Linked DNA regions of Tamandua tetradactyla. The protein of the gene in region 1 interacts with the protein of each later gene in a biochemical or structural test. Links are inferred from orthologs where the notes say so. Each region holds a gene or a part of one and is shown in the gene's direction. Other genes may lie near its edges.

Evidence for each region.
Region 2: the proteins of KIT (region 1) and SH2B3 form a complex in vitro, tested with the Homo sapiens proteins (2 studies listed by BioGRID and IntAct, with this or other methods). The link is inferred for Tamandua tetradactyla from reciprocal best matches to the Homo sapiens genes KIT and SH2B3.
Region 3: the proteins of KIT (region 1) and YES1 form a complex in vitro, tested with the Homo sapiens proteins (2 studies listed by BioGRID and IntAct, with this or other methods). The link is inferred for Tamandua tetradactyla from reciprocal best matches to the Homo sapiens genes KIT and YES1.
Region 4: the proteins of KIT (region 1) and PTPN11 form a complex in vitro, tested with the Homo sapiens proteins (3 studies listed by BioGRID and IntAct, with this or other methods). The link is inferred for Tamandua tetradactyla from reciprocal best matches to the Homo sapiens genes KIT and PTPN11.

What each region holds. Positions count from the first base shown.
Region 1 is NC_135345.1:54,926,612-54,934,439, forward strand, and holds the start of KIT (mast/stem cell growth factor receptor Kit), read left to right. Parts: upstream 1-4,816; 5' UTR 4,817-4,919; coding exon 4,920-4,986; intron 4,987-6,778; exon of another isoform or gene 6,779-7,351; intron 7,352-7,828. UniProt on the Homo sapiens protein: Tyrosine-protein kinase that acts as a cell-surface receptor for the cytokine KITLG/SCF and plays an essential role in the regulation of cell survival and proliferation, hematopoiesis, stem cell maintenance, gametogenesis, mast cell development, migration and function, and in melanogenesis.
Region 2 is NC_135331.1:12,001,502-12,009,155, forward strand, and holds the start of SH2B3 (SH2B adapter protein 3), read left to right. Parts: upstream 1-4,639; 5' UTR 4,640-4,730; intron 4,731-7,654. UniProt on the Homo sapiens protein: Links T-cell receptor activation signal to phospholipase C-gamma-1, GRB2 and phosphatidylinositol 3-kinase.
Region 3 is NC_135344.1:63,793,142-63,800,767, reverse strand, and holds the start of YES1 (tyrosine-protein kinase Yes), read left to right. Parts: upstream 1-4,623; 5' UTR 4,624-5,032; intron 5,033-5,166; exon of another isoform or gene 5,167-5,352; intron 5,353-5,806; exon of another isoform or gene 5,807-7,626. UniProt on the Homo sapiens protein: Non-receptor protein tyrosine kinase that is involved in the regulation of cell growth and survival, apoptosis, cell-cell adhesion, cytoskeleton remodeling, and differentiation.
Region 4 is NC_135331.1:13,176,769-13,183,788, forward strand, and holds the start of PTPN11 (tyrosine-protein phosphatase non-receptor type 11), read left to right. Parts: upstream 1-4,007; 5' UTR 4,008-4,190; coding exon 4,191-4,204; intron 4,205-7,020. UniProt on the Homo sapiens protein: Acts downstream of various receptor and cytoplasmic protein tyrosine kinases to participate in the signal transduction from the cell surface to the nucleus. Positively regulates MAPK signal transduction pathway. Dephosphorylates GAB1, ARHGAP35 and EGFR.

The sequences.
Region 1 (7,828 bases):
TGTTCACACATCACACTGTGCTGAGCTCCATTACAGTACTCACCACAATTTAATCTTTGGCCCCTTATGTGTCTCTTTCACTGTAAATCCTATGTTGGGTCTGTATCTTGTCTAACTTTGTATTTCTAGCACTTAATGTAGTACATCTGGCACACAGAAGGTTTTCAATAAATTCTGAATGAAAGCTTGAACCAAGACCATATATTATTTGCTTTCAGCCTCACAAACTATTAAACTCACAAATTGTTATACACACCATTTGTTATACTCACAAATTGGTTATTGTTAGTACCAATTATTCAAATGAAGATCATATATATTCATTTCTTTAACTTTATGGACAAAAAGACTTCTATATGGTGTTAAGTTGCACATTTGAAAGAATTTGAAAGGACTGTATCCTTGATGTAGAAATTCTACTTCTAGAAATCTATTCTAAATAAATAATCAGAGACAGGCTGGTTTTATTCACAAAGATGTTTATTACCAAGTATTTATTATAGTAAAAAAACTCATAAAAACAAGAGAGAAATGATTAAACATTCAGAATTATGTTATACCCATGTAATTAAACTTTATACTGCCATCAAAATTATATTTTCAAGGATTTTTTAATGATCTGGGACAATGCTTAATGATATAAGTAGTAAGAAAAGTGGATATAGAATGAGGTGGGACTCAATGTCAAGGGATTGAGAAAACCTTCTCCACCAAAAGGGGGAAGGGTGAAATGAGACAAAATAAAGTGTCAATGGCTGAGAAATTCCAAACTGAGTTGAGAGGTTACCCTGGAGGTTATTCTTATGCATTATATAGATATTACCTTTTTAGTTAAGGTGTAATGGAAAGGCTGGAGGGAACTGCCTGAAAATGTGGAGCTCTGTTCCAGTAGTCATGTTTCTTAAAGATGATTGTATAATGATATAGCTTTCACAATGTGACTGTGTGATTGTCAAAACCTTGTGCCTGATGCTCCTTTTATCTACCTTATCGACAGACGAGTAAAACATAGGGATTAAAAATAAATAAATTATAAGGGGAACAAATGTTAAAATAAATTTAGTAGATTGAAATTCTAGTGATCAATGAAAGCGAGGGTTAAGGGTATGGTATATATGAATTTTTTTCTGTTGTCTTTTTATTTCTTTTTCTGAATTGATGCAAACGTTCTAAGAAATTATCATTATGATGAATATACAACTATGTGATGATATTGTGAGTTATTGATTATATATCAAGAACGCAATGATCATGTGGTAAGAATGTTTGTATTCATATGTTATGTTTAATAAATTAATAAATTAAAAAAAGAAAACTTGTAAACATTGACAAAAACTGGATAGAAAATCAGAAAATATAGTAAGGTCTTAAATTATGCAGGGGGAGAAAACCACCTCACACGTAAACAGAAAAAAAGATTAGAAAGAAACATATCCAAATGAACTCTTCAATGATTATATCTTGGGTGATATTGCTTTGCTTTGCTATTTTATCTTTTATTGATATATTATATATTCACATGCCATGTAATCACCCAAAGTGTACAATCAATGGTTCACAATATCATCATATAGCTGTGCATTTATCATCACAATCGACTTTCTTTGATTTGTTATTTTTAATTTTTTTGGCATTTTCCAAATTTTCTACAGTAAACATTTTTACTTTTATGATCAGAAATAAAACTTTTTTCAAGTTAGAAATTTTTTTCTGTGTGAGACTGCAATAAACATCCTTTGTTCTGTTTGTTCAGCATTATTCCTCCTTTTCCCTTTTTCTTGGGGACATAATTATCCCCCTCCCCCCATTCTTAGGCCCCATGGTGTGGATGAAGTAGACCTCCAACCTCTGGCTCCAGAAGTGGGTGCATAACTCAGACCAGGCCAGTCATCATATTCCATCCTTCTGGCTTCCATCACTGGTCCCAGATGGGCACATAACTTGAGTCAGGTCCATGAGACTCAGTTTCAGCACTTTTTATAGGAGCTGTTTATGAGGCCAAAGAAGTTCTGCTTCCACTGGTAGTAATATGGGATAAGCCAAATGCCCAGCCTGAACGCATGCGAGGACAGTGAAACAAGACAGAGGAAAGTATTGCCAAAAGTTGAGGATGGAGAAACATACCCACACACCTTTTCAAGTCCTCATGACTATGAGTCCCTGGATCTAGGAAAGTCTGGAATCAGCACTTTCATCCCTGGGTTTTCCACTTATAAGAACCAATTGATTTAAGGGTTCTTTGTTTACCCCCAGTTTGCACTGGGCATCAAGCAAAGAGTCCTCACTAATATGATTATAAAAAGAACAATATATACAAAGAATAACTCATGAAGGGGTCCAAAGCTATCATAAAATACAGTATGGACACTAACCAATGAGTGTACATCCTTCCTGAGATATAAAGCATTTCAATCATGGCAAATGTTCTATTGGAGAGTGCTGATCTATAATATAATTAACATAATATAGTCATAGTCATATGTATATTATATATAATATAGTCATAGCACTTTATATATGTTTCCTCTTGGTATATAGCAGGCTGGGGATATTATCAAAAATAGTGAACAACCTTAAAGGTACAGGTACTGGAAGCGCTGCTGTGTCTGGCAGTAGACCTTTAATTGCTGGATCTAAGGAGATTTGGGGTGTCTTATGGGAAGGTTGGGGGTAGGTGGTACTTAGGAGGTGCTTAATTCAGTGGCTTTTTCCCAGTCAGTACAGAAAGATTTCAATATTCTACGAAACAATATGGCCAGATAGGTGTGTACTGGCTGAACATGTTAGCAGATATTACAGTTTCTTGTTTGGGAGGCTATTTTCCCAGCTGGATTGTGAATTCCCCCAGGGCAGGGACTTTGTCTCCTCCATTTTTGTCGGTCTTGTGCCTACCTAGATGCTCAATAAATGGATGAACATGAGTGACAGTTCACCATTGTATAATTCCTATATTCTGATTTTTTTCCTGATAGAATCTTTCCTGCCTAGAATTAAATTTATTTCATCCACTCTTCTGAAGATTTGTTATCCTCTCCAGGATCAGTTAACTGAAGAAGAAAATTGTAAATTTTTCTCTCTCAGGCATAATGTTGATATTTTAACTCATAGAAACTTTTTTTTTCTCACTACAAAATAGATTTTAGAAATAAATCAAGATTTGAGAAACTTTTGATTGCTTCTAATGGTATCTTTTATCTCTGCTATCTTAAGAAAAAAATGTGGTCTATGGGCCAGAGCAAAACAGAGACCTTTTGAGTTTCCATTCTCTCACAGCTGTCAGATTTGAACCATTTTCTAGGAGATTAGGGTGTAGGTTCCCATCAGAACGGTGAGGGCAGGGATGGAATCTATTAACTATTGCCCTCCCTGTGCCTAGCTCCTCCCTGCTTCACAGAAGACACACACTGAATGCTTGTTTAATGGATAAATACATTTAGAGAGGCAGTACATGTTGGTCATTTGATCATCCTCTAGTCGTGATAATTTTAAAGTGGTTAGTGTTAAAAGTCATTATTCTTAAACCAACTTAGATCCTTTCAGTATCAAATAGAGCTTTTGATAGTAATTGAATATCTGGGTAATTATAAATTTTGGATGATACTTTAGAGAGTCTAGGTAAATCTAAATTATTCTATCCCCTTTTCTGATGGGCCCCTCCCATTTATTTTTCACTCTTAAGCTCTCTGGAGGGGCGTTTTACTCGTTTATTAGAAGGCATGAGGAAAGCTCACCACACCTAGAGACAGTCTTATACTATGGGCTCAAATGGCAGGTCTCCTTTAATGTGTGAGATTGGGCCACTTGAGAATTAAAATAAGTATATCAGCATGAAGTACTATTGGCGAGGAAGAACGATATAACCCTAATCAGATACTGTCGCTACATTTCATTCAAGGACTGCCACCATAAACAGCTAGGAAAGCACGTTCTATGCAATGGTACCTGGTTTAAAGATTATCATTTTACTATTATTTCGCTCCTGGTACCGGGTAGAGCAGCTAAGTTAGAGGAACGCAGGGATCCTCAGCCTTCTAACTGTTGTGCTAGCAAGACAGAGAAACCGTACACGGGCAAAAAAAAAAAAAAAAAAAAAAAAAAGGCGGCCAGAGGGCTTCGCGCAGCGATTGGCGAAAAGGTGTTAAAAACCCAGGCCCCAAAACAAACTTCGGAAATGGCTCCACTTGGCTCAAAAGCCCCAGTCTCCAAGAAAGTATTGGCTGGGGTTTGTTGGACGGAGGCCACGTCGACCAATAGAAACCAACTGTTCTTACAGGTTACCTAGCAGGTGGAGAAACTAAGCATAAAGAATTACCTAAACCCTCTATCAAGCCTTTTACCGCGGTGCCAAGGCGCAACGCTAGAAGAATGCCGCTGCCCAATTTTCTAATCTCTTCTCGCGTCCCATTAACACTTCCAGGGTTAACGGCGATCAGTCCCCTCCCACGTGAGCATGCACAAGGGGCTGCGGTCAATCTTTATTGTCTGGGGAACACCTGCCAGGTGGCAAGCTGGTGCTCCAATGTGCGCACGGTGCCCGGCTTCTCAGAGCGCGCAGGCAACACCACCACCCTCGATTCGGCACTACCTTTAGCGGCCAGACCACATCACGCGGGAGGAGAGAAGGAGATGCAGAGGCCCTCGGGTCAAGACCCGGGGGCGTAGACCAGCGTACCCTCCCCTCCCCCCACCAGGGATAGCTAGTCGAAAAAGCAAGGGCCAGAGACGCTGAGAAGCGCCGAGAGCGAGGGGGGAGGGAGGGAGAGGAGGCGAGGAGGGGCGTGGCCGGCGCGCAGAGGGAGGGCGCTGGGAGGAGGGGCTGCCCCTCAGAGCTCTCGGCTCTGGGGGCTCAGCTTTGCCGCGCGGCTTACACTTGGGCGAGAGGAGGAACGTGGTACGGAGCTCCGATCCAAGCCTCCGCGATGAGAGGCGCTCGCTGCGCTTGGGATTTTTTCTGCGTGCTGTTCCTCCTGCTCTGCGTCCAGACAGGTGGGGAAGGGCGGTGGGGACTCTGGCCGCGTCCCCCACCGCAGCCAGTGTTCCCCGAGGGATTGAGGCTGCTGGGGTGTGTCTGGAGAGGTGGGCGCGGGCCCTTCTGGTCCCAGGTGTTAGAGACTCCGGGAAGATTCGAGGCGTTCCCAGGGCTCTCCTGCGCCTTGCTTCGCTCACCTGTGCGAGGAGCCTCCAGTCGCTGGTCGTGGTGGGGCGCTGAGCTGAGGGGTCTTCTGGGAATGAGGGCAGCGAGGGGACTTGGGCAAGAGCGAGGCTGAAGGCGGACGGCAGTCGAGCTGCACGCGAGTTTGGGATTTCTTTTGTGCGGAGGGTGCGCGGGTGGCAGAGGAGAGGACGGTTTGGAGGCTAGCACCCAGCGCGTTATCTCCACCGTGCGAGGCGCGGCCGCAGCTTCCTTTTGTTAAAAGTTGCGTGTGTGTGACCGGTTCATCAGAGGACCGACCTGCATGTTCTTAGCCGCGTGGAGGGCAAAGTTTGAGAGCCTTCTCTTTTCTCTGCGACTGCTCCTTTCCAACGTGTGGCGCTCTTTGTGCCCAGAGGTGGGGACGGGCCCGCTGCCGCCTCTGCTCGCGGCGCGGCCCTTAGTGACGCTTCCCGGCCCCCCACCCCCCACCCCCCGGGTTATGGTTTTCCAAAGGAAGCGTGCGGCGTGCGCTCTGGGGTCGGACCCCGACAACCTGGAGGTGGCGGCGACAGGGACAACTTGGGCAGAGCGTGTGGAAAGCAGCCGCTAGGTTGCAGACTTTTGGGTTTTGTAAATGCTGTGCGGGAGGCTCGCCCAGTTCTGTCGCGGTGCGATTTCATTCCTGCCACACGCTCCGAGAGCGACTTGGGGGCTGTGTTTGCCTCCTGCTCCGGGAGAGACGGCGACAGCGCTGTCCCAGGCCGCCGCGTGTGCCCAGGCCAGAGTTCCCGACCAGGCTAGCGAGACTCTGGAAGCCCTCGCCTCGGTGTCTGCGACCTGTGAATGCAAATCCCAGTTCACCTCGGGAATTTTGACATTCGTAACATCCCCTGTCACGTAATATTTATACTTAATGGGTGCGTGACGTGGGATGGTTGGAGATGGAATGGAACTTACCGTAGATCTTACTTGATTTTTGAAGCTGTGAGGAAATCCGGTTACATCCGCGTGGGAACTTGGTCTGAAGGTGAAGTGTAGGACTCGCAGGTTCCTGGGTCCCCTCAGGCTGATTCCCCCCTCCCCCTTCCCTTCTGGATGTCACTGGTGTGCGCGAGCGTCACCCAAATCCCTGAAGCCCTCCTCTATCTCCGGTCATTTTTTTAAACCTTTACCCTGATGATGTACGGATAAGAAAGTGAGTCTGAACTGGAATGTAAGGGCTCGAAAGGAAGCGTCGCAGTGACTTATTGTTACCCTGTGCAGACCACTGGTCAGTTTACCCATAAAGTCTCCAGACACTGCCTTTTCCCTCTTGGTCTTGTAAGGCATTGTGAGAGCTTTCCTGTGGGGGAAGAGAGGCCTTGCATTTGGACCTCTGAGAGGTGGGAGGGAATATCCAGATGCCGTGGCCGATTTGATCGCCTAGTTTAAAATGACACTTGGTTATTTTATTTTTGTGCCTTGACCTTTTAAATTTCAGTTAAGATGTATGATCAGAGTAGGACAAGAGAAAGAACTCACTGCCATTTTTTTTTTTTTTTAATTAAGTGAATCAATTGTTTCCTGCTTCCTCAGATTTTTCCTGCTGGATCCAATAGACTTTTTTGTAAAGAGAATTTTAAAGCTTTCTCTTGTGGTGGGGAATGGAGGAGGGGTCAGTGTGATGTAGCCAAAAAGCCTTGAACTGCTTGTCTGATTGGGTTTCCTCAGCCATTCTTTGCCTGCTATGTCCTTGGGCAGGTCCTTTAAATTCAAGGGATCCCAGTTTCCTCAAGAGTGCAATGAGGCATCTGCATTAAAAAGGATCCTTTTGGTTCAAAATTCTTCTCCTTTACTCTTGAGTGTAGATTTAGCACTTTTCACAACTCTTTCCCTGATGCCTTCCCGCAGCTTTGAAATTCCCTTGCTTTTTCTGGTCTCTGGGGCCACTTGGTGTGTCCCTACCCATCTGCCCCTGGTTAAAGCGGGGAGATGTGGTTTATGCTGCCTTTTCTTCAGTCCCCACCTGCTCCCCTACACATTTCTCTTTGAGGGTTAGGAGAGGTGCCAGCTACTAGGTTCTCTTCCTGTATTTACAGCTTCCAGTATTTACAGCTCCCGTGCCACGCAGGATGAACTTGGAAGGAATGGTGAATCATACCTTCCTCTTGTTCCTGCAGGTGTGAGGTCACATTCCTCCCCAGCAGCTAGACACACAGGGTATTGCAGATTATTATCCTGATGAAAATCATAACATCATGTTATAAATGGATCCCACATAATTCATTTAATCCCATTCTGGACTTTCCCACCTTAACTTCACTTTTTTCTATGACTTTATAACCATCGTATACTTAAATGCTTTTATAACAGTTTTTAATAATCTCTTATTACAGGGCCAAGTGCCAGGCCTTGTGCTAGGGGCTTTACCGGTCATTTCAGATCCTCATCAACAAGCCCCAGAAGTAATTTTTTTACTGTCCCAACCATTTTCCAGCTGGAGAAACTGGCTGAGGATAAACTATCCAAGATAATCAGTAAGGATAGCTTGAGATCGGTCCCCTATTTCCAACTGTATGACCATTTTCACATTACTCACCAAAATGTGTTTAAAGTGAGATTCACATTGATTCATTAAAAAATATATAGTCCAGGCATTGGAGGTTCTGGGAATACAGGAGTGAACAAGATGGCTAGTTTTTTTTTGGGGGGGGG
Region 2 (7,654 bases), on another chromosome or scaffold:
AACACATAGGCAGATTTTCATAGTATAAAGTCGGCAGGGGGCAAGCAGAGGAAGAAAAAGGAGAGTCCAAGGATAGACGCAGAGTGACGACGGTACAGAGGGGCTGCTTTAGGATCTGTGGTCAGGGACCTCTGAGGAGTGAATGGAGTGAAGAAAGGGGGGGGGGCATTCTGGCCAGATGGAACAGTAAGTGCCAGAGCCCTGAATTGGGAACAAGAAGGAGCTGAGCTGTGCCCCAGAGGTACCCCTTGATAACATTCAGCATGCAGAGCATTCACTCCAACACAATTTCATTTCCCTTCACCCACTACTACTATGTCCATTTTACAGATGGGGACACTGAGGCTCAGAGAGCAGGAGTCTCTTGCTGGTGGTTGCACAGCAAGAAGTGACAGTGGCAGGATTGGAACCCAGGCCTAGAAAACTCTAGAACCAGCCATTGTCCAGTTGTGGGGGGTGGTGCGGGGGGGGAGGCAGCCTATGTCCCAGGCCTCCCTGTCACCTGTGGACCATGCTTTCGTCCCGAGAGGCCGAGCACAGGCCCGCAGAAACATGGTTTACAGTGTGCACACCGGCCTCCACTCACGGCAGCATGGATTCCACCTCATCTGTCAAATGGCTGTGAAGGTCTTTTCCCCGTAGGTCTCACCTCTGGAGCCACCACTCTTCCCAGTTATCCTTTGAAGGACAAAGGACTCTCCTGCCCAATTTGTTTTTATTAATTAAAATATTTTAAAAAAAATACCAAAAAACAGCAAACACAAACATTTGTAACTTTTGATCATTCCGTTCTATATATATAAGCAGTAATTCACAATATCATCACATAGTTGCATATTCATCATCATGATCACTTCTTGGAACATTTGCATCTATTCAGAAAAAGAAATAAAAAGAAAACAGAAAAAAAATTCATACATACCATACCCCTCCCCCTCACCGATCACCAGCATTTCACTCTAAATTTATTTTAATATTTGTTCCCCCTATTATTCATCTTTATTCCATATGTTTTACTCGTCTGTTGACATGTTAGATAAAAGGAGCATCAGACACAAGGTTTTTACAATCACACAGTCACATTGTAAAAGCTATATCATTATACAGTCATCTTCAAGAAACATGGCTACTGGAACACAGCGCTACATTTTCAGGCAGTTCCCTCCAGTCTCTCCACTACATCTTGACTAACAAGGTGATTTCTATTTAATGCCTAAGAATAACCTCCAGGATAACCTCTCCACTCTGAAATCTCTCAGCCATTGACACTTTGTCTCATTTCACTCTGCTCCCTTTTGGTCGAGAAGGTTTTCTCAATCCCTTGATGCTGAGTCTCAGCTCATTCTAGGATTTCTGTCCCACGTTGCCAGGAAGGTCCACACCCCTGGGAGTCATGTCCCACATAGACAGGGGGAGGGTGGTGAGTTTGCTTTTGTGTTGACTGGAGAGAGAGGCCACATCTGAGCAACAAAAGAGGTTCTCTTGGGGGTGACTCTTATGCCTAATTTTAAGTAGACTTGACCTATCCTTTGTGGGGTTAAGTTTCATATGAACAAACCCCAAGACTGGGGGCTCAGCCTATAGCTTTGATTGTCCACACTGCTTGTGAGAATATCAAGAATTCAACTTGGGGAGGCTGAATTTTCCCCCGTTCTCACCATTCCCAAAGGGGACTTTTCCTGCCCAATTTTTAATCACCATTCTTTATTGAGCATGTGTGCTAAGTGGAAGCACCCCACCCCACATACCCCCAAACCCTTAACCTGTGTTTTCTCATCACATTCTCCTCCCCCTCCACCCAGTGGGGTTAACACTGTGTTTGTTCCCATTTCACAGGTGAGAAAACTGGAGTCCCCCCGGGGCGGGGGGTGTCTACATAACCACATTCTGGAAGGATGAAGAACAGAGAATTTCCAACCTCTCCGGGTAACCCCAGAGCTTTCGTCCTTACTTATGGGGCCCCTCAGACCATGAAGCCCTGTGCTTGAGGTGGGGAGAGCCTCTCATCAGGGTGAGTGACTTAACCTTTCAGGTTCTTCCTTTGTAAAATGGGGCTAGTCACAGGAGGACCTGCCCCAGGGCTGTTGTGAGGGTAGAATGAGCCAGCATACGGAAAATGCCCAGACTTGCACAGTCCTGTGCAGTAGCTACCAGCTGAGGGTGGCTATTTAAATTTCAATTGAGTAACATTAAATGAAATTACAAATTCAGTTCCTCAGTGGCACCAGCCACGGTTTGAGTGCTCAAGAGCCACATATGGCTAGCCGTGACCTTATGAAGCAGTGCAGAGAGAGCATTTCCACTTTCATAGAAAGTTCCACTGGTCAGAGCCAAAACGGTTCATCATTTTGTTAATCCTAGATTTGTTTACTATTATAATTCTTGAATTTTTACCTTTATTCTTGCTCATGCTATTTTAGCCTATTGTTATATAATTATTACTCCTGTAGCTATTAAGTCATTTTATTAATCCTAGATCTCTTAACTATTATTATATTTATTATCATTACTTATTCACATCCAGTTATTATTTTATATTGATTATTAATCCTATAATCATTAACTACTATTATTATGAATCCTAGACCTGTTACTAGATATCATATTAATTTATTAATTTTAGTAATATCCCATTATTTAATTTTAATTACTCCTGTAATAGTTGATCATTACTGTTATTCTTAATTAGGCCTGGCCATTCTTGTTATAATATTTATTGTTATTCACCCTTTTATGATGACTCCTGAACCCATTAACTGTCTTCTGATACTCTGGGCCACGTCTCTGGCATCTGAACCTGGCCAGCAGCAGGTGCTTGCTTACTGCTTCCAGGTTTTCACCTTAGGAAGGAAGGAAGGCCAGTGGGACATGCCCCCCAAGGTGGTTTTGCTTGTCCTGGGGGGCAAGGCGGGGAGGCTGCGAATCTGTGGCAGGAATTCAAATGAACCTCACTCTTTGGGCCTTGGGGACCTGTGATGTTGGGGGAGCTGCCCTGTGGAGAAGATGAAATGAAATCGCTGCGTCTGAGCCACCATGCTCTCGAGTTGAAGGCAAGGCGGTGGGAAAGAGTATTGGTTGTAACCCTTTTCTAAGAAAAACCAACAAAAAGTGAGAAGTCTAGAAATCGGGGTGAGCCTTGAAACAAGAAACTGGACTCCGGAGGAGACGCTGGGCAAGAAACCAAGCGAGGAAGGAAACCAGTTTGGGCTTCAGAGAAATCTGGCAGCGAGCAGAGACTTGAACAGTGATTAAAAAGGAGAAGAACCACAAGGCCCCGTCTAAGTCAGCAGAGCTGCTGTCTGGCCAGCGAGAGGGAAAGTGCTTGTGGCTGGCAGATTTCAGCAACCATTTGGCAGGGGCTCTGTACCTGGGCCAGGGTGCTCTGTTGGCGCCACCTGGCAGCTGTGTGATACAGATAAGAAATTGCTGTCTCTGGGCCTCAGTCTCCCTGGGTGTCATAAAGAGATAATAACATGGGGTGATGAGTTTAGGCTTGCCTTATGTCATCTCCCAGCACCCCGCCCTAATCCTTAAATGCTGTGTGAGCATCACAGGGATACCTCCTAAGCAAGTTGCCAACTCTAGGTTTTGCAGCTTAAATCCAAAGCCCAGCAGGTCCTTCCCTTGCTCAAAATCATCTGTGGCTCCCCATTACCCTCAAGATAATTCTCAAACTCGCCACTGGGCCCTTCAAGCCCCCACAGGATGGATCCACGTTTCCAACTTCAACTCTTCCCGTCTGTCTCTCTAGGTATTACCACTACTTTCTTGACTTTCCTCAAATGCACCAATCTTATTCCTACCTCAGGACCTTTGTCCTTGCTGCTCCCCTGGTCTTACCTCAGATCTTACCGTATCTGGATCTTTCTCCTGGAGGGGGGTTTCTCTGCAAATGTTAGTTCTTCAGAGAGGACCTCCTGGCCCTCAGAGGGTGTCCAGTCTAAGACACTCTGCATCCCAGAACTGTTCTGCTGTCTTCATAATAAATGCCTTGTTTACTTATTTGTCCCTGCTGTTTCTTCACTAACATGTCAGCCACACGAGGGCAGGGATGTTTGTCTGTCGTGGTCCCTGCCATGGCCCCAGCACCCAGAACAGGTCCTTGCCCACAGAAGGCATCCAGTACACGTTTAGGGAAAGCAGGAACTCCCAGTCCTCCCCGCTGTTTCCTTCGAGGCTGACAGGAGACCAGCCCCAGGTCCCCATCCAGGTGGAGGCGGGAAGCTCCTGCCTGGAGGCCCAGGTCCAGGCCTCAACACCTGCTTTGCCCTCCAGCCGACCCCATGCTAATTGCTTTACACCCATGAACTCATTTAATCCACTGGACAACCCAGGGTAATGGAGACCCTTATTGTTTCCAGTTCGCAGATGCGGAAATTGAGGTCTTGTCGTTTGCCCAAGGTTAGTAAGAGGGGGAGGCCGTGGAGGGGGGGCGGCGGCGGAGAGCACTATCTGGGAAGCCATGAGGTGGCCCCTTCGGGCTGCGGGACGTGAGCGGCTCGTTTCCTGCTTGGGGAGGGTGAGAAAGGCAGACGTTCCCCTCCCCCCTCCCTCCCGCGTGCTGGGGAGGGCTGCCTGAGAGCCTGTCCGCACCCCAATCAGGGGGAACCCCGAATAGAAAATGAAAGCAGCGGGGAGGTGAGGCCAGTGGGAGTCCCAGAGGGCAGGGGGCTAACAGTCCTACAAGGCTTTCTAGGGAAAGTTGGCTCCCTCCCGGACGGAGGCTCCAGGTTGGTCTTCGTGGGCGCCGGTGGCGGCCGGAGCAGAGCCGGGCTGGGGGGCCGGGGCGCCGGGGCGCCGGGGCGGGTCGGCTCGGCAGGGTCGCGGGGAGTCGGGGCGGGGCGGGGTCGGGCTCCCAGCCCCGCGCAATGATGAAAGGCGCGGCTGCTATTGCACCCACAGGCCCGGCGCGCGGCGATAACGCCCTGGAGGAGGGAGTCGGCCGGGGCGCGCCCCCTCGAGGCCGAGCGTCTCCGCGGGGCCGCACCCCTAGGCCCCTTCCCTCCACCTGGCCCCGCCCCCGCAGCGCCGAGGCCCCCTGCGGCCTGCAGGAGGCTGGGTGGGTGGGGCCACGGGTTCTCCGCCCCTCCTCCCCTCGGGCTGTGCAAACCGAAGCGGGTGGGCGAGCGGTGGGCGTGGCTAGACAGGGCCCCGCCCCCTTCGGGCCACGCCTCGAGACCCCAGGACCTGGCCGGCCGGGAAGGAGCAGGGTTGGTGGGCGGGAAAGGGTTCGGCTCCGCCCTCCCAGGCCCGCCCCTCTGGCTGAGGGAGACTGCGGTTCGCGGGCGGGCTGGGCGTGGCCGGGCATGGCTCCGCCCCCTTCTCCGGCCCCGCCCCCGAGCCGGCCGCCTACCCCCGCCCGGCTGGGCTTGCACGGCGGGTTCCTCTTTACATAACGGCGCGGGGCGGCATGGGCTCGGGCCACCGCCTCCGCCCGGCCGCCCGCCTGGACTGTCGCGGCCCGCCGTGGCGACGGCGGCAGCAGCAAAGTTTCCCTGGCGGCGGCCCGGGGGCGCATCCTCCCGCAACTGTCAAGCGCTGGCGGCGGAAATGATGAGGCGCTGGCCATTTTCCGAGCCCGGGTTTCCTGCCTGAGCCCAGCTCCAGAGAGCCGCGAGCGAGGAGCCGGCGTGCGGGAGAGGACGCGCCCGGGGCGGGGGCCCGCCCGCCCCCTCGGGACTTCGGGGGGCCGGGGGCGCGCGACGCCATGGGCCGGCCGGGCCCGGACCCCCTCTCTCACAGGTAAACGCGCCCTTCCCGGCGCTCCCCTCCTTCGGGGCTGGGAGGAGGCCCGTGACCAGTTGTGCCCTGCCTCTGCGCCCCCACCACAGCCTCGGATATGCCCTGCTGCCGACTCGGACGCAGGTGTCCGGGGCTGCCCCTTCCCCAGCTCCTGCGACACCACTTAGCGGACACCCCCACCCACACACGTGTTGGGGACGGAAGGAGGCCGTGGGGAGCGGGAGCGAGGGGATGGCTGGCAGCCCCAGCGCGCTCCAGAGGTAGCCCAGCCAGGCAGGCACCACAGCACCCGGGTCACCTGGGCCCTCTGGGGGCGGGGCGGGGGGGTCACCACCTGGTCGCTTGAAAGTGAAAGTAGTCAAACCGAAGCTGTGAGAACGCACGAGTCCTCCCTGAGTGGGGCTCCTCCCCAGTCCTCAAGGCCATGTGGCAAAGAGGGCAGCGCCCCTCCCCGCAAGCCCTGCGCTGCCGGGTGCGCCGGGCCAAGAGCCCACCCGCCACTGAACTTTGGCTTTGGGCAGGGTTGGGACCAGAACCTGGTCTCCTTGGGCTGGTCCCCTCACCCTGCTGACATGGAGCTCCCGGGGAATCCCGCGCACACACACCCAGCATGGGGGCGGGGAGGGGATGTTGACCTTATAGGTCAGCTCACTGCCAGGGTATTTCAGAGGCCTCGGATGTCTGGTGCAGAAATCCCCTCCCTTCCCTCCCCCTGGTCAGGGGGGCTCTGCGGGGGAGAGGCTGCATTTGAGGAACTGGGGAGGGGGCTCTGCCTGCTTGTCCCGCTTCTTTTTTTCTCTTTAGTTTCCTCATTCTCCCGTTTCTCTTCCCCATTCCCCGGCCACGATGATGTAGGTGAGGAGGTCATTGCTTGCAGCTGGGGGACCTCCAGGGAGGCGCACGGCCAGGCCAGGCCGGGTGGGAGGAAGTGAAATCAGGCGCTGGGTGGATGGGGGCTTGGCGCAGAGTGCACGGCTAGGTGAGGTCTGCAGGGCCGAGGGGAGGGAGGCGAGAGGGGCTGAGATCTGACCCTCACACCCCCCTCACCTGGGAGATGAGCATCACCTGCCAGGCCCAGCTGGGGTGGCCATTCCGCCCTCGGGCCCCTCCCTGGGTGGCGGGCCTCCAGGGATGCAGTGAGTATCGTGTGTGGATTTCTCATCACGGACCTGGCTGCCCGAGCAGAGACCCTCATGAGGCTTCCCGGGGCCTGCCGCGTCCTGAGACCCGGCTCTAATGGGGTGAGAGCAGGCAGAGCCCTCTGGGGTGGGGGTGGGGGGATCGGGATGAGAGGCCAGGGGCTGTCGGGGAAGTTGGAAGTGTTTTTAACAGCTTTTTTCTGAGCCCCTTCCCACAACTTCTCTTGGGGAGGGGGGCGAGTAGGAAGGGAACCTTCTGAGCCAAAGGGTGAACATTCCTAGAACTTCTGTGTGTTCCCGGGGGTTACGAATGCTGCAGACTGGAAAGAGAAGTATCAGTGACCAGTGGAGGGTCTTGGAGGCTTAGGTTCGAATCTTCGCTGCCTCTTTCCAGCTGGGGCAGGTGGTACTTGTGAGCCTCCCATTTCCTATATGTAGGATGAGGGTGATGACAGGTTGGTGATAGAGATTGGATGAGCCTGTGTGCGAAAGGCACCTACTGCCTGGTACAGAGCAAAAGGGGTTCAGTTCTAGGTGGTGGTGTGACTCTCGTCATTGTTACCTTGTTGTTCCCGGTTCCGGAATGTTCCTTCATCAGCACCCTTAAGCACCTCCCACAATCCTGGGGTCCCCTGAACCTTTGGGAGGAGAGTCCAGAAGACCCAGGCAGGGTGAGATGATGAGAGAGCTGGAAGGGTTTCCTGGCTGAGAGGATGTTCTTTAACCGACCCAGCCTCAGTTTCCTCATTTGCCATGTGGGTGTGATAATAGCA
Region 3 (7,626 bases), on another chromosome or scaffold:
AATTAATGGAAATAATTCTATGCCAAAATTATCAGGTCTCTGAAAGAAAAATCTCTACTTTAAAATTAGTCATGTTTGGATTATTTAAATAGCATCTTCTAAAATTTAAGAGTTATTATATATACTCTTTTTTTTGGTGTATAGTTGTTGTTTCTTCTGTAAACATGGTTTCAATTATTTATAGGACATACATACATGCAAAGTAAAGATGAGAACTCAGTGCTCAAAATAATTTGGAACAGTTGTAGACTAGTTCACTATAAAGAAATGACATTGATAATAAAAGCTAAAATATAATTTGAAAAAAAACAGTGGCTAGTTCTTTTAAGCGAAAGAATTTTAAAAAAGCAAGCCTTGGCAGATCAAAATGTAAACCTTAGCATGGACTTGACATAGATGTTTTATATTTGGTAATTACTTATTGTTGTAATAACTTATGCTGTACAAATAGTCATTTCTCAGATATTTGGTTCTTTGAAAACATATAACTTGAATGGAAGTTTGACTTGATAGATGCAAAATGCTGATCTCCAGAAAGTTTTCTTTCATGTATGTTGTTTTTTTCTGAATTGAATTCATTCTTTTTAGGTTTGTCTCTTATGTCTTTACCAGTATGCCCCACCACTTTAAGGCGATGCAACAGTAATATTCAGAAAGAACTTTCTAGCAATTGTGGAGTTTCACATTTCTTATTTATACAGGCAATTTACTAATGTTTTTTATTCCAGAATTTGAAGAAATAGATGCTGTTTTATATAACATTGTTAAACTTTTTTTTCTGCAATCACCATGACTTTCAGTAGAAGAGGTTTTGGAATATATCCTCTTATTACTTCTGGGTTGCTTAACCTCTCTAAGCTTGAGGGATTCGATCTGTAAATACTACCAACCTCTGGGGTTATGAGAAGTCAATGTAGGTAAAACACTTGACATGGTGAGAGTGCTATAAAAGATAGCTGCTATTGTTATTATTTTCATCAACCTTATTATCTGTTTCGTCAATCCGGTTAATTAAGTCATTCACATGACCTAAAACACATTTCCTCAAAGCATGGATATTATGTTACATATTTGTGGCATACATCATTCCCTTAGAAAGAAGAAAAATTAGCTATTTCAAGTAATCAAAAGCCCTATGCATAACATAAATCAAAGACGACAATATAATTTGCTAAAGGATTAAATGTATTATGGTTTGCATGACATAACAAAATCTGGTAAGTCAGATTTTAATTTGCTCAGACACAAATGTGAAAAAAAAACTATATTGCTAAAAATGCAAAAAGAAGTTTTCACTTTAAAAAAGGATATTAAAACAAGGTTTTCAAAAGCATACATTTTCTAAAACCATTTTTTTTACCCCAGCTATTGTTAGCTTGCAAGACATCTAATAATAAATAAAAGTTCCTTAATAACCAAACCTGTATGTTTTATGAGCTGATGTCAACTAGCCTTAAAGATAACAGAATTCCTGATTATAGTTTCTTTTCTAAACCTTTGATGTAGGTAAACACTTCAACTTTAACTTCTTGCCTTCAAAGTTATACTCTACTGTTTTGTAACCTACTCATAAAGATTTCTAGGAAGTAGCAATCTGGTAGCAATTTTAGCGGTGCTTGCATAAACTCAATGTCAGAGTCACTGACATAACTACACATCAGGTTATTGTATTAGAAAAGTAAAGACCAAACACTTGGTAATGGCTATCAGAATTGCAAATACGGATCTTGGGAGCAAATCACAAGCCTAGAGGGCAGAGATTACAAATGGGCTTCAACATATTCTAGCTCCAGTTTTGGGGTGGTTGCCTGAATCTTGTGGAAAAAGATTTTTAGGATGAAGTTAGTGCTCCAGGAGAAAAAGCGTATGATATACAATGTCCTAAAAGCAGGCAGGAGGAGAGACTGATTTGCCATCTCTGTTCTAGGTTTGGGTCTGACATGACTCAAGGCAACTAAGAGTCTTACAATTGGGGTTCCACAGGCTTATACCTGTTTCTTGCTGTGCATCTGCTTCATCTTCCTTTTGCAAAAATCTAACACCTCCCCCACCCTCATAAGAAGATGCTACCTTCATAATACTCAAGTTTGACACAGTACTATCAGCAAGTATCAGAGACGAAGTAGTGACCTTTTACCAGTACAGGTTCTTCTTTGCAAAGGATAGAAACTGTAGCTCTACTTAATTGAACTAGAAAGAAAATTTTTTGGAGGAAGTTCACAGAATCAACAGGAAGATTGGTGGACCAGGCTCAGTCAGAAACCAAGGAAAGCAAAGCAGAGTCCAACACCTGCCATGGGGATGGTCGGCCTAGGATGCTGATACCATCAGCACTGGACCCTTGTTGCCTCCTGCTACTGGGCTTCCATACTCCAGGACATTCACCTTCTGCCACTCAACTCTTAACTCTACCACAGCCACCATGAACAGTCTCTGAGTTGAGATAAAGCCAAAAGCTGGAGACAGCAAAAGATGACCAGAATTGGAGGAAGCTCATGTAGGATTTTGCCATTTGTGACATCTACCAATTGTACAACATGACCTTACACACTTAGCGAATTTGTTCTCTTAGGCAGCCCTTGCTCAGTTGAGGAAAAGTAGTAACTATGATATGAGCCTCACTCCTTGAGGCAATGTCAGTACCACTGAGAAATTGGTAGTTTACTGTAGGGATACCTTCCTTTGGTCTGACCCTTGGAATTTTTGCTTCAAGGGATCTTTAGTGTTCCTAACTGCTTCTTGGAGCAGCTGTGGCCAGGTGGACTAGGCAAGGCTAAGAAGATACACAGAGTAGACATGAAAGTGGGTCTCTGAGTGGTTATTACAAGTCCAGAGTAAGGCATTTCCAAGAAAGGCATTTTGAAGGGCGGGGGTGGTTATTAGAGAGCAGAGACAGTGCATGTACCCTGTAAGGGCTGCTGGCTTTCTCCTGTCCTCAGAAAGAGAAAATCCTTGGCCTAGGCACAACAAAGGAAGCAGCAGCAGCACCATATTACTGACAGCAGGTAGGAAAGGTTTATCCTAATCAAAAACATTTCCGGGCAGAATAACATGTTGCAGGGTGATAGTGAATGTGCCCCAGCTAAATTCCAAACCTTTTAAACTTCCAATTAGTCAAACACTTTTAAGTACTGATAAACTAAAATAAAGGAAAATGTTTTACATTTGTAGAGAACACAGTTCATTAATTTTGTTTAAAGCTTTCTCCTAGCTTTTTCATCCAACAGTCTTTCCCAGGAATTCCAAAACTTATCCCTTATCACTCTTTAACACACACACACACACACATTACTTATGTGTTGTGTAGGAAGGAAACACGGGGGTGAGCTTTTCCATCTGTCCATTTCACCAATGAGCAGATTTTCAGATGAGTTCAACACAACTTCTACCATACCAAACTCAGGTTCTAAACTCTCTCATTAAAAAAAAAATGTTTTAAATATTCCTGGAAATAAGTGGGACATTGAGTATAGGAGTAAAGTAATCAGGAAGTTAAGTATTGGACCACGAATATTCCAAAAAAGAAAACGGAATGAGGTAATAAAAAGTTAATGAGAGTGAAGAGGAAAGGAGAACTCGGTAAGTTAATATAAACCCATCCTTGCCCCATCTTTAAAATTCCATAGAGAGTATCTTCAAAGCAACCTCACTCAGACTGCAGAATATAGTATTTTATAGGTAATCTTTTTTTTTTTTTAGCCTGAGAGTTGAGGGAAACAAAAATAATACCTTTATTTTATTTATAAGTTAAACCCAGTTCAAGGAATGTATTTTCATTGTTAAAGAAAAGTGAAATATAAATCTATATGAGAGAAAGAAAAAATAGAAGATAACCTATATCCAGAAAAGCCGACAGTGAAATGAATTTTTAGTAGCTAAATAAAAGCACTGTTCCACGTTATGTGTGCACTTTTTCGTTAATGTGAATGCTTATGCTACTCTCCTCTCGGTTCATCTTGTGAGCTGAGAAAACATTTTCTTAAGTTCCTAGAATACCATAACACTGACACGTATGTTATTTCGTGGGTGCTTGCGGAAGATGCGAATTTCGGTTAAAAAAAAAAAATCAGAGACAAAGGAAACCAACAGTCCCACATTAATAATCCTGATAACCCCACCAAAGAGGAAATACAAAGAGGAAGTTCATGTACGGAGTGACTGCAGCAGAAAGAGCCTCAATGTTCAGCCCATTCCGACCTTGACTAACTCTCCTCTTTATCCCACTTCCTTCTGGATCCTCCCCTTTCTCCAGCGACTGGCTGCAAGGCCAACAGGAAAGGTACTGGGATTCAGACGAACACGATCTCGGCCGTGACTCGATTTTCAGAAATATAAAACAGAATCACTGCCCCAGTTCCCTCGCTGAGTTGTTGCGAGGATCAAATAAGACCTTGTCCCCCAATAAGCCGAAGCCACCGTTACCAGGAGAGTCGCCCAAGGGACCCGGACTTCGGTTCCCCGCTCCTAAAAGGGGGACCGCCCTACAGTCAACAGGAAGCTCCAGGGGCAGGAGACAGGATCCCGAAGTCGGAGCAAGGCCAGCCTCGAACGTTTTTGGACGGCGACCAGGACGGTGACGAGCCTTTAGTAACGCCCCGTCCCCCGCCCCCCCCCCCCCCGGCTCCTGCGGTGGGCTGAGATTTTACTATCAGCGACAAAGGGTGCGGAAGCATAGTACTGAGAAGCAAAGAACCAGCCCCCAAAACTCTCAATCCTGTCCTCCGCCACAGAAACAAACACAATCCCAGAGCCCTCGGCACTACAGAGAGAGGGACAAACTGAAAAGAGAGCCAGAGGAGGCTGAAATCTGTGCTGCCATTTGCTCCCCCGCGGCAGCCGATCGGCGGGCCCCAGGGTCCGTAGGGGCGCCGCTCTGCGGGGTGGAGAGGCACCTCCTCCTCGCGGCCCCTCGGCCAACTCCGCCTCGGGAATCCGCCCGGACCCCGCCGCCATGTTGGGCCGGGAGCAGTGACTGGGACGCAGCGCGCGACGGGAGAAGGCCCTCTCGGACCGGCCCGCAGCGCGAGTTCCGGTGAGTCGGACGCGCGCGCAGGTAGTCGCAGCCCCGCCCGCCCCGCCGCGGACTGAGGGGCGGAGCCGCCGTGAGGGCGGGGAGAGCGCGGAGGCGGGGCGAGAGGCCGAGGGGTGGGGAGCCCGGGAATTCCCTCCTCCCGAAGTAACGAGTCCGGGTCCGGCTCTGCCGTCGTCGCCGCTGCCGGGCGCCCCCGGACGCGGAGGTGGAGGAGGAGGCAGAGGGCCCCGCGGGCCTCGCCGCTGCCCGCCGCCCGCCGCCCCCTCCCCTCCACCTGAGCTGCCGCGGCAGCGGCTCCTGCGATCGCGGCCAGGGAACAGGTAAGGACTGGGCTGTCGACCCTAAGCCAGGGAGCGCTAGGCCCCGCGCCCGCCCGCCCGTCCGCCGCTACCCTTCCCACCTCAGCCTGCTCCGAGTCGGGAAGTTGGTGAGAAACTTCCCTCCTGCGGCCCGGCTCGCGCGGCGGGCGTGTCTCCCTTTCCGCACTACCTGCTCGCCCCTGACCCGGACTCCGCCCCGTCCGGCCCCGCCCAAGTCCGACTGAAGGTCTTGGAGTGCTGGAGCCCCCTTCCCCGGGTCTTTCGTGTCATGCGGGCCACCGGCGAGGTGTGGGGGGGGAGCGAGGTGAATCTCAGCCCCCACGGCCGAGGTCGATCGGGGCTGGGGGAAGCCCCTTTCTGCCCCAGAGGCTGGGATCCGCGTTGGCTGGCGCCGGGCGGCCCCTGCGCTGGGAGCGAGGACGGGCGGTGCGGGACGAGCGGGCGAGCCTCTCACTCCTCTTGGTTTGATTGAAAACCGCAACATGTTAAAGTTTTTCTTTGTTTTGGGTTGGGGGTTGGGGGAGGAAATATGCCATTCAGCACCCAGGTTTTACAGTCTTTTGCCACTCCGCCTCGCGTTTAGTTTGGTCTTCTGTCCGCATGTGTAACAAAATTTTGTATTAAAGTTTGTTTTCTTCTGAATTATAATCACTGCCTCCAGCTTTTGCTTTATTGGACTTGGGACAGCGTCGTTTTAAGTAGATCTTCGAAATTCTAGTCTGGTGTAGGGACTGTTTTTGCTTTGTAGTGAGTGAGGCACAACATAGTTTAGTTGTGACTGATTAGTTTGTGCATAATTAATTGAAATAAGCATTAGATAACAGGGTTGATAAGTGGCAAATTATTAAAGTGAGAAAATGAAGAATTAAGTCTCTAATAGGACCTCAACTTTATGTCCGTGACATTAGACACATATGTTCTACTGTATATGTGAAAATGTACATATACAGGATTTCACATGTATATTTTGCATTTTCGTGCATTCTAATTGGGATTACACAGCAAAGGTATTTTATGATTACAAATGTATTTAAACTGTCCTGTTAAATTTCTCTAGTTAAATTGCACAGTAAGAAAAATGTTAAGAAATGTACACGTATAATTGTATGCGTTCAAGGCAAAGTGCATAGCGAATATTATCTTAAGTAGCACGATGCTTGTCCCACAGTAGACAGTAACCATTTGGAATGGGCAGGTAATGAGGAATGTCTTGTATTAGAAGAAACCAAGGACCTTTTTTGTGTCACATAGGATTTTCATTTAGTACACTATTAAAAAGTGGTATTTCACTAAGCCATTTATATGTATTTTTTTACTTCTACCTCTTTACTTTTTTATTATTTTCAGATTTGCTTCAGACCTTTTATTTTATTTTATTTTAAATACCAAAAAACACCAAACAAACACAAACATTCGTAACTTTTAATCATTCCGTTCTACATATTATATGTATTTTTTACAAATGTGCGAGACCCTTGCCATAGTTGCCATTTAAGAAAAGGAAATTGTAGTTTAACTTTTGGACATTAGTGAAATATCAATGGAGATTTTAAATGCTGGCTGACAATTTGTAGGGTCCCAAACTTGAAAAAAAATGTGGCCTTTGATCTGAATTGAACTACAAGACATTTCATGTCCATGTTTCTCAGATAGTAGATAAAAGAACTCTTAAAACATATATACTCTGCTGTAACCAACATAATGTTAGAGCAGTATGTTTGCTGACTTCATAAACCACAAAATTGACTCCTCTCTGTTTAATCAAAAGTGAAATTACAGCTTTGCTCTATCTTCCTGAGATAGGTGGAATTTGTCTTATGGCTAAAGTATAATAATATATGGTTGAAGTTTTTCTTTTTATTCAGGAAATTCTTAAGATGAAAAATTAAGTCTATGTAAATAAATCCCCCTCAAAGTATACAATGTTAAAAGAATAAATATGCTAAAATAATAACAATAATCTTCTACAACTGAAATATTAACCACCATGGTGTTAGACTCCTTTATTCAGAGTTTCAATTTGGATCATTTGGGTCAGTAAATACTTTATTATAGGGGTAATTTTTCTTTATAAATATATTTAACTCTCTAGTGAGTCTGTTCAATGTCGGTATCATTCATTAATTTCTATTACTGTTGTATTGAGAAAGAAGCTTTATATAAAAAATTTTTATAGAGCAGTACTAAGCTATGGTGTCTAGGAATGCAAACTTGAGTGGTAAAACTATTTTTTAAAAAAACTGCAATGAAGTATTTTCTATTAAATGTACTGGG
Region 4 (7,020 bases), on another chromosome or scaffold:
GTTATACATTAAACAGACCTGCAGAAACTTCTTTGATGATAATTTACCGTTTTTCTATATCTATGCTGTTGTAGTACTATTATCTTAGAATTACAGCCTAAAGATCCTTCTGACACATGTTGATTCTAATCTCAAAACCTCCTGAATCACGAGACCCAACTGTACCATGCTATTTGTCTCAGGCCCCTATAACTGGTCCTGTTGATTCCTACTTAATTGCAGAGCGCTATTCATGTTTGTTCAGACTGCCACTGCTGTCTCCTGTTCGTAAGTCCTAATAAACTCATGTCTAATTCCATGCCCGGTGTGTTCTTTGGTCTTGGAGCTGCTCAATCCCATACCCTAAAAGAGATAGGTCTAGACCGTAACAAGTGGCAAAAATCCCCTGGAAATTAATATGATGTCCATTTAAACAGAAATAGTTGACTAAATAACGCGCAACCACACTACAGAATATTATGCAGTTATGGGAAAGAATGAATTAAATTTGAAGGTCTAGAACTGCAGTGTCCAGTGCAGTAGCCAAATGTGGCTATTGAACACCCAAAATATGGCTAGTTCATATCGAGATGTGATGTAGGTACAAAATACACACCGGATTTCAAAGTCTTAGTAAGAAAAAAATATATATATAAGAATTTTTTATATTGAGTACATGTTGCATATTTTGGCATATTATGTTAAATAAAATATATTCAAATAAATTTCACCTGCTTCTTTTTATGTGACTACTAGAAAGTTTAAAATCATATATATAGCTCATAGTTTTACTGACAAGCAGAATTGTCCAGTAAGAGAATCTCTCTCTATAGAGAGAGTCCCTTACATAATTAAGTGGAAAAATAGATCACAAAGATCATGTGTGAATGATATATGCGTATTTAAAAAATAAAACAGGAGAAAATCTTGTTTATATTGTGTATGCGAATGACTGTGAGTATAGGTATAGAGAAAGCTATAGAAAGATACTCATCAAACCATCAGTGCTGGTGCGGGTTGGAGTAGAGATGTACACATTGAGGAAGGGGGACAAAATAACTTTTATTTGGCTTGTTGCAAGGAAATTGTGTTGCTTTTGTAGTTGAGAAAGGAATTCAAATAAAGTATCTCAAAAATGAATATTTCTTATTCATTTTATTATATTTGCCAGGCACCATTAGGCTCTGGGGATATAAGGATGATACATTTTTATTTAAAAGGAGCCTCATAATCTAGAGACAATGGCACTGAAGTGTATTAGGTACCAACAGAGGCACAAACAGGCTGCACCAAGAGCAGAAGGGGGCCTCTATTATATTCTCAGCAAGTGATCTAGGGGTGTGTGTGCAGAGAATGTTTTCTGAAGTGGGTGCCTGAGTTGGAGCCGAACCTTGCATGACATTTAGTTTTCTAGATGGAGAAGGGTTTGAAGGGTATTCCAGGCAAAGGCAGAGGAATTAAATTTTGGAAGGCAGGGATATAACAGTCAGTAGGAGGCCTTTGGAAACTGCAGGAGTATATGAGGGCATTGATTGTACATTTGGATGATAATATGGTGAATGTATCTCAATAAAATCACATTAAAAAGAGAAGAAAAGGAGAAAAAATAAGAATAAGGGTTGGGGATAAATGAAGTTGAGTAAGTAGGCATAGGCCATATCCAAAAGGGCAGTACTTGCTAATGGAAGGATTTTAATTTAATGCTAAAGGCTTTGAGCCTCCTTCATAAAACAAGGGAGTGACATGATTAGATTTGCATTCTAGAATGATCACTTTAGCTGCAGAGTGTACTGAATATACGAGAGACCAGTGAGGTATGGCTTCTGTATTCAAGGAACTTATAGTTTACTTGAGAAGAGACAAATGATAACTTGCACTTGTTACATTCTTACTTTGCCAAGCATTGCTCAAGTACTTCACATTAACCTTTTTAATCTTCACAACTACCCTATGAGGTAGGTAGATTTTTGATTCCCTCTTTACAGAGAAGCAAACTGAGACATAGAACAATCAAGTAATTTGTCCATGGCCACACAGGCACACAGCCAGGCTGAGCTTCACAGGTCAAAAATGTAATCCCCATATTACTGCCTCTTAGATTTACAATATTTAACTAAGCCAGGATAGATGTCTTTGGGATCTCCTAATCTGGACTGGGAAATCAAGTAAGGCTTCCTATTGCAAAGGAGTGACTTCTTTGAGATCTGACGCATGTATGGGGAGGTGGGGCAGGAAGAACCCTACAGAGACAGGATGCTATTATTTAAAGGCTCTGAGCTAGGAAATTGGCATTCTGAGGGGAAGTGAAAGTCATTCAGCATAGTGAAGCAAGGGCTGGGAGAGGAGGGAGCAATGAAGAGGGTAGGAACCAGACCAGGCTAGGTCTTGTACTGCATGTACCATGTCAAAAAATTGTTTGACTTAATCAGTGCAGGGAGTGTCTGGAGTTGCATTTTAGATTACTCTGGCTATTAAGTGGAGAATGCGTTGGAAAGGGCAAACCTGCAGTCCTAAGAACCATTTATTTGTGGTTTGGGTTATGTAGGGGAAAGATAAGGGTGGTCAAGATTTAGGGAGATTAGAAACAGGGGCTTGTTGAACAGGTATTATCTAAATGAAATAGGCACATAAGACAATTTTGTAAAGATAATTTTGCAAATAGCACATCAATGCTGAAGCAGTTTTTTGTAGAGGAGTGAGATGGGCATCACTCAGAGAAAAATGGTAATTTTGGAAGTAGATTGATATGTATTGAAATCATAGCTCTGCTATTTTATTAGCTCTGTGGCTCTTAGCCAGTCATATGGTTCATAAGGTAAGGGCTCTACCTTCTCTTCCTCTGAGTCGCTATCATCTCCAGCCTGGAAAGCTATAGGAGCCTCTGACCTGTTCCCTCTGACCTCACTCCCTTGATCCTAGACTTCAGAGTATCCAAAGTAAGACTTCAAAACATAGATTATGTTCCTCCGCTGCTCAAAATTCAAAGGCTCACATTTCATTATGAAAAAGCCCAAACTTATTAAATTAGCCTAGGGCCCTATACCAACTCTACCCCTCTTTTACTACATCTCCTGTTACTCTTCCCACCTTCAATCTGCTCCAACCACAGAGACCTCTTTATTGTTCTTCAAATGTAGGAGGCAGCCTCCTGCTTCAGGGCCTTTGAACTCATTTCTCCCTGGGCTTGAAATGCCCTTCCTTCAGTTATTCCCAGGGATTGCTCCTTTACTTTCAAGAGCTCTTTATTCAGATGCCATCTTAAGTTTCCCCTAAACACCCTGTTTAAAAATATAATACTCCCCTCCTCCTTCCTTGCCTTTTCTCCATATCACTTTATCTCCACTTCTGTCTATATTTTACTTATCTTCATTATTGTATCTTCTCCCACGAGCATGCCGAGTTCGTTTTTTTCTTTGCCTTTTTAATTCACTGTTATATCCTCATAGTCTAAAACAGCGCCTCGCATTTGAAAAACAATCAACAAATGTTTAATCATAAAGATAAAAAGAGCTAACTTAAAAAGCACTTACTATACAGGGCAAACTCAGTACTATGGACTTTACATGGTTAATTCTCATAATAATCCTAAGAAGAAAACATCATTACTTCCTCAATTTTACAGATGAGGAAACTGAGGCACAGAGAAATGAAATAACTTTCCCAAGGTTACACAGATAATAAGTGGAGCGGCGATTTATGGAATGAAATTAAGGAATGATTTTGGCAGTCTCGCGCGCAGGGATGGAAACTGCCACCATGCAAAAGGATGCAACAGGTCCATAGGAATTGGTACAACACCCAGCGCGGAGCTCACGCCCGGCGGCCAAGGTTTAGAGGGCTCGAGAGCGCTTTGGGTACTATTCTGCGACGGCTCCTCGCACTAACCGACCTACCATTACCTGTCTCCGCTCAGTCCTAGGCTGACGGGAAGCAGGAAGTGGCAGTGGGCGTCGCGCGAGGTGACGTCACGGCGGAGCCTCAGGCAAAGGGCGGGGGAGGAGGAGGAGCGAGTCGGGCTGTGGGGTGGGGGGGCCGGGCGGCTGCACTGTCTCCGGGATCCCCAGGCCTGGAGGGGGGTCTGCGCGCGGCCGGCTGGCTCTGCCCGCGTGTCCGGTCCCGAGCGGGCCTCCCTCGGGCCAGCCCGATGTGACCGGGTCCAGTGGAGCCTGAGCAGGAGCGGGTCCGTCCCGGAGCCGGAGGGCGGGAGGAACATGACATCGCGGAGGTGAGGAACCCCGGGGGGCCCGTTCCAGGCCTCAGCCTAGCCCCCGCTCCAGCTAGTCCGCCCCGCCCGGGAGGGGGCGCCCCCGCCGGGTTGCCGACTCTGGCTCTGTGTTGGGGAAGCAGGCTCTCCCAACCCTTTTGCTCTTACCCGGCCGGGGCTCCGGCCGCTCCGCGCCCCCACCCCTCGGGGACCCATTCATTTCCTGCCTTCCTGAGTTCCGGCTCCCGCAGCCTGGAGGATGCCTGTCGCTACGCGAGCAGGTAGAGCTGCCCGAAGATCCACCGACTCCAGCGGCTCGGCTCGGCGCCGCATTCCTGACCCATTGCCTCATGAGAATTGCCTCATGGTGATTCCGAAATAACCCCGTTCACTCGGGGAGGCTGGTCGACCCAGTACGCGGGAGGGGTGAGGAAGGAGCTGCCGGGGGCCAGGTCCCGATGGTCGAGCGGTTCTGGGTCACTCTGCGTCCTGCGTACATTTGAGGGCTTCACTCAGTATCCCTGACCCCGTTATATACCTTTGCATCCCTGTTTCCCCCCGCCTCTCAAGTGCCAGAAATGGAAAAATTGACGGTATCTGTAGCTATTAGAAGTATTTCCTTCCTCTGCGATCTTCGCTTTGGGAGATGGAAGGGAAGACAGCTCTATCTAGTTATTTAGTGATTAGCACAACTTTAAAAGTCAGGTAGTTTAATCATTCCCATTTTGTGTATGTGGAAACAGGCTCAAAGTAACATACTAGTAAATGGCAGGATTTGAACCTAAATTTGTGTCATTCTAGGGTTAGAAGGAGGATTAGTGAGTTAATGAGAGCTTTTGAAAGTAAACAGTATACTACTAAAAACTAACATTTAGCTTTTACTCTAAGCTTAACACGTTTAATTTTTGAACAGCCCTATAAGGTAGTACTATTCCTGTTTAACAGAGGAGTAGTAAGTTAGAAGAATACTCTAACTCTAATTCTAACTGAAGAAGTTAGACAACTTGCCCAACGTCGCACAATTAGTAATGATGAAGCCAGAATCCGCCGTTAATCAGCATGCTACTATTATTATTTTATAACTATTGCTAATCATTTGTAAACCTTAATTCTGTTGGTAAGGGGGAGTGTTACCTATTGTTTTCAGATAGTGATTATGCTATTTTGTATTACCACTCTCTTTATTCAACTCATACATAGAAGTTATCTATTCTTTTCCTTGATTATGGTCACCATCTTAGATGTTTGAAAAACTTTCAAGTTGCTGGGTGTTTTTGAATGAGAGGCTTTTCAAAATATTGGAATGTCTCGTTAAAACACACCTGCAAGTTATTCACTCATGGATCTGGAAAGAAAAGAAATAGAAAAAAGAAAATGCGAAGCTCCTAGAATTGAGTGACGTGGACAGGTCTGTTGGCAAGTGTCTGCAGTTTTGGGTAATATATAATTGCATTTCAGCAGAACAGTGTATAGCATCAAATGTTCTAATTCTTTAGGGATTTTTAAAATAAAACAGTTGTCTATTCTTTAATCTGTCAAATAGTCATTGAGCCTTTTGTTCCCTGTGTCTGCTCTTCCAGACATGTAAGGATCTGCTTCTTTAGGAGACAAAAGACTGAGATTGGGGGTAGGGTAAGGGCCTGGATAGTAATAGACCCTGCATTGTCCAGCTTGTTGGTTTAGAAGCATGAAAGTGTGGGCATAACCAGCTCAGCAAGTGGTACCGATGACAGTTTTAAAGGGAATAATTTCTCCTCCCCTCCAGCCTTGATATTTATTACTCACCTATTATAGAAAAGAACCTAAAAAGTCAGATTATGAACACAACACAAAATTGACGTTATTTTTTTATCGTAAATTTTATTACTTTTATTCAGCTTTATTGAGTGATAAATGACATGCAATAAATTGCATATATTTAAATGTACAAGTTGATAAATTTGACTTATATATATACTTGTGAAGCCATCACTATAATTTCCATAACAAACATACCCACTAATCCTCATGCTCCTTTATAATCCCTCGCGTGTTCCTAGGCCACCATCCACTGTTCTGCTTTCTGTCACTATTCATTGTTTTTCATTTCCTAGAATTTTATATACATGGATTGGTATTATACAGTGTGTACTTTTGTCTGGCTTTTATGCTCAGCGTTCTTACTTGGAAGTAAATCCATGTTGTAGTGTGTTTCAATAGTTCATTCCTTTTTACTACTGAGTATCCATCACATGGATATCCATTCATTTGTTGATGAACATTTGGATTGGCAAGTGTTTGTGTGACTTTCATTTCTTTTGGTGTGAAATAAGTTGATTATATAGTAGTAGATGTATATTTAATCTTTTCAGAAAAAGTTAGTTTATTTCTTTAGTTGGAGTGATGCAAATGTTCTGAAGAATGATCATGGTGATGAATATACAACTGTGTGATGATATTGTGAGCTATTGATTGTGCATTATGTATGAAATGTTGTATGTTGGGAATGTATGTGCTTGTGCATTGTTTTATCAATAAAAATTAAGAAAGAGAAAAAAGTTAGAATGGCCATAGCTCAAACACCCCTAAAGAGAGAAATAGAAAGATCAAAGGTAGTGGTGAATCCATACAGAAGAGACAGGATCTAACAAATGAATATCATTGCTGAATCATTAAATTGATATCTCTTTTAGTCTCCAGTATCTTAGAGCAGCTAGAAGTAAAAACCTAAAATTGTAATATTGTAACCAGTGTCAAACTCTGAAGTATAGTCTACAACTAATTGTGGTGCTGTGCTTTGAAATTTATTGCCTTTTTTGTATGTATGTTATTTTTCACAAGAAAAGAAAGGGAAAAAG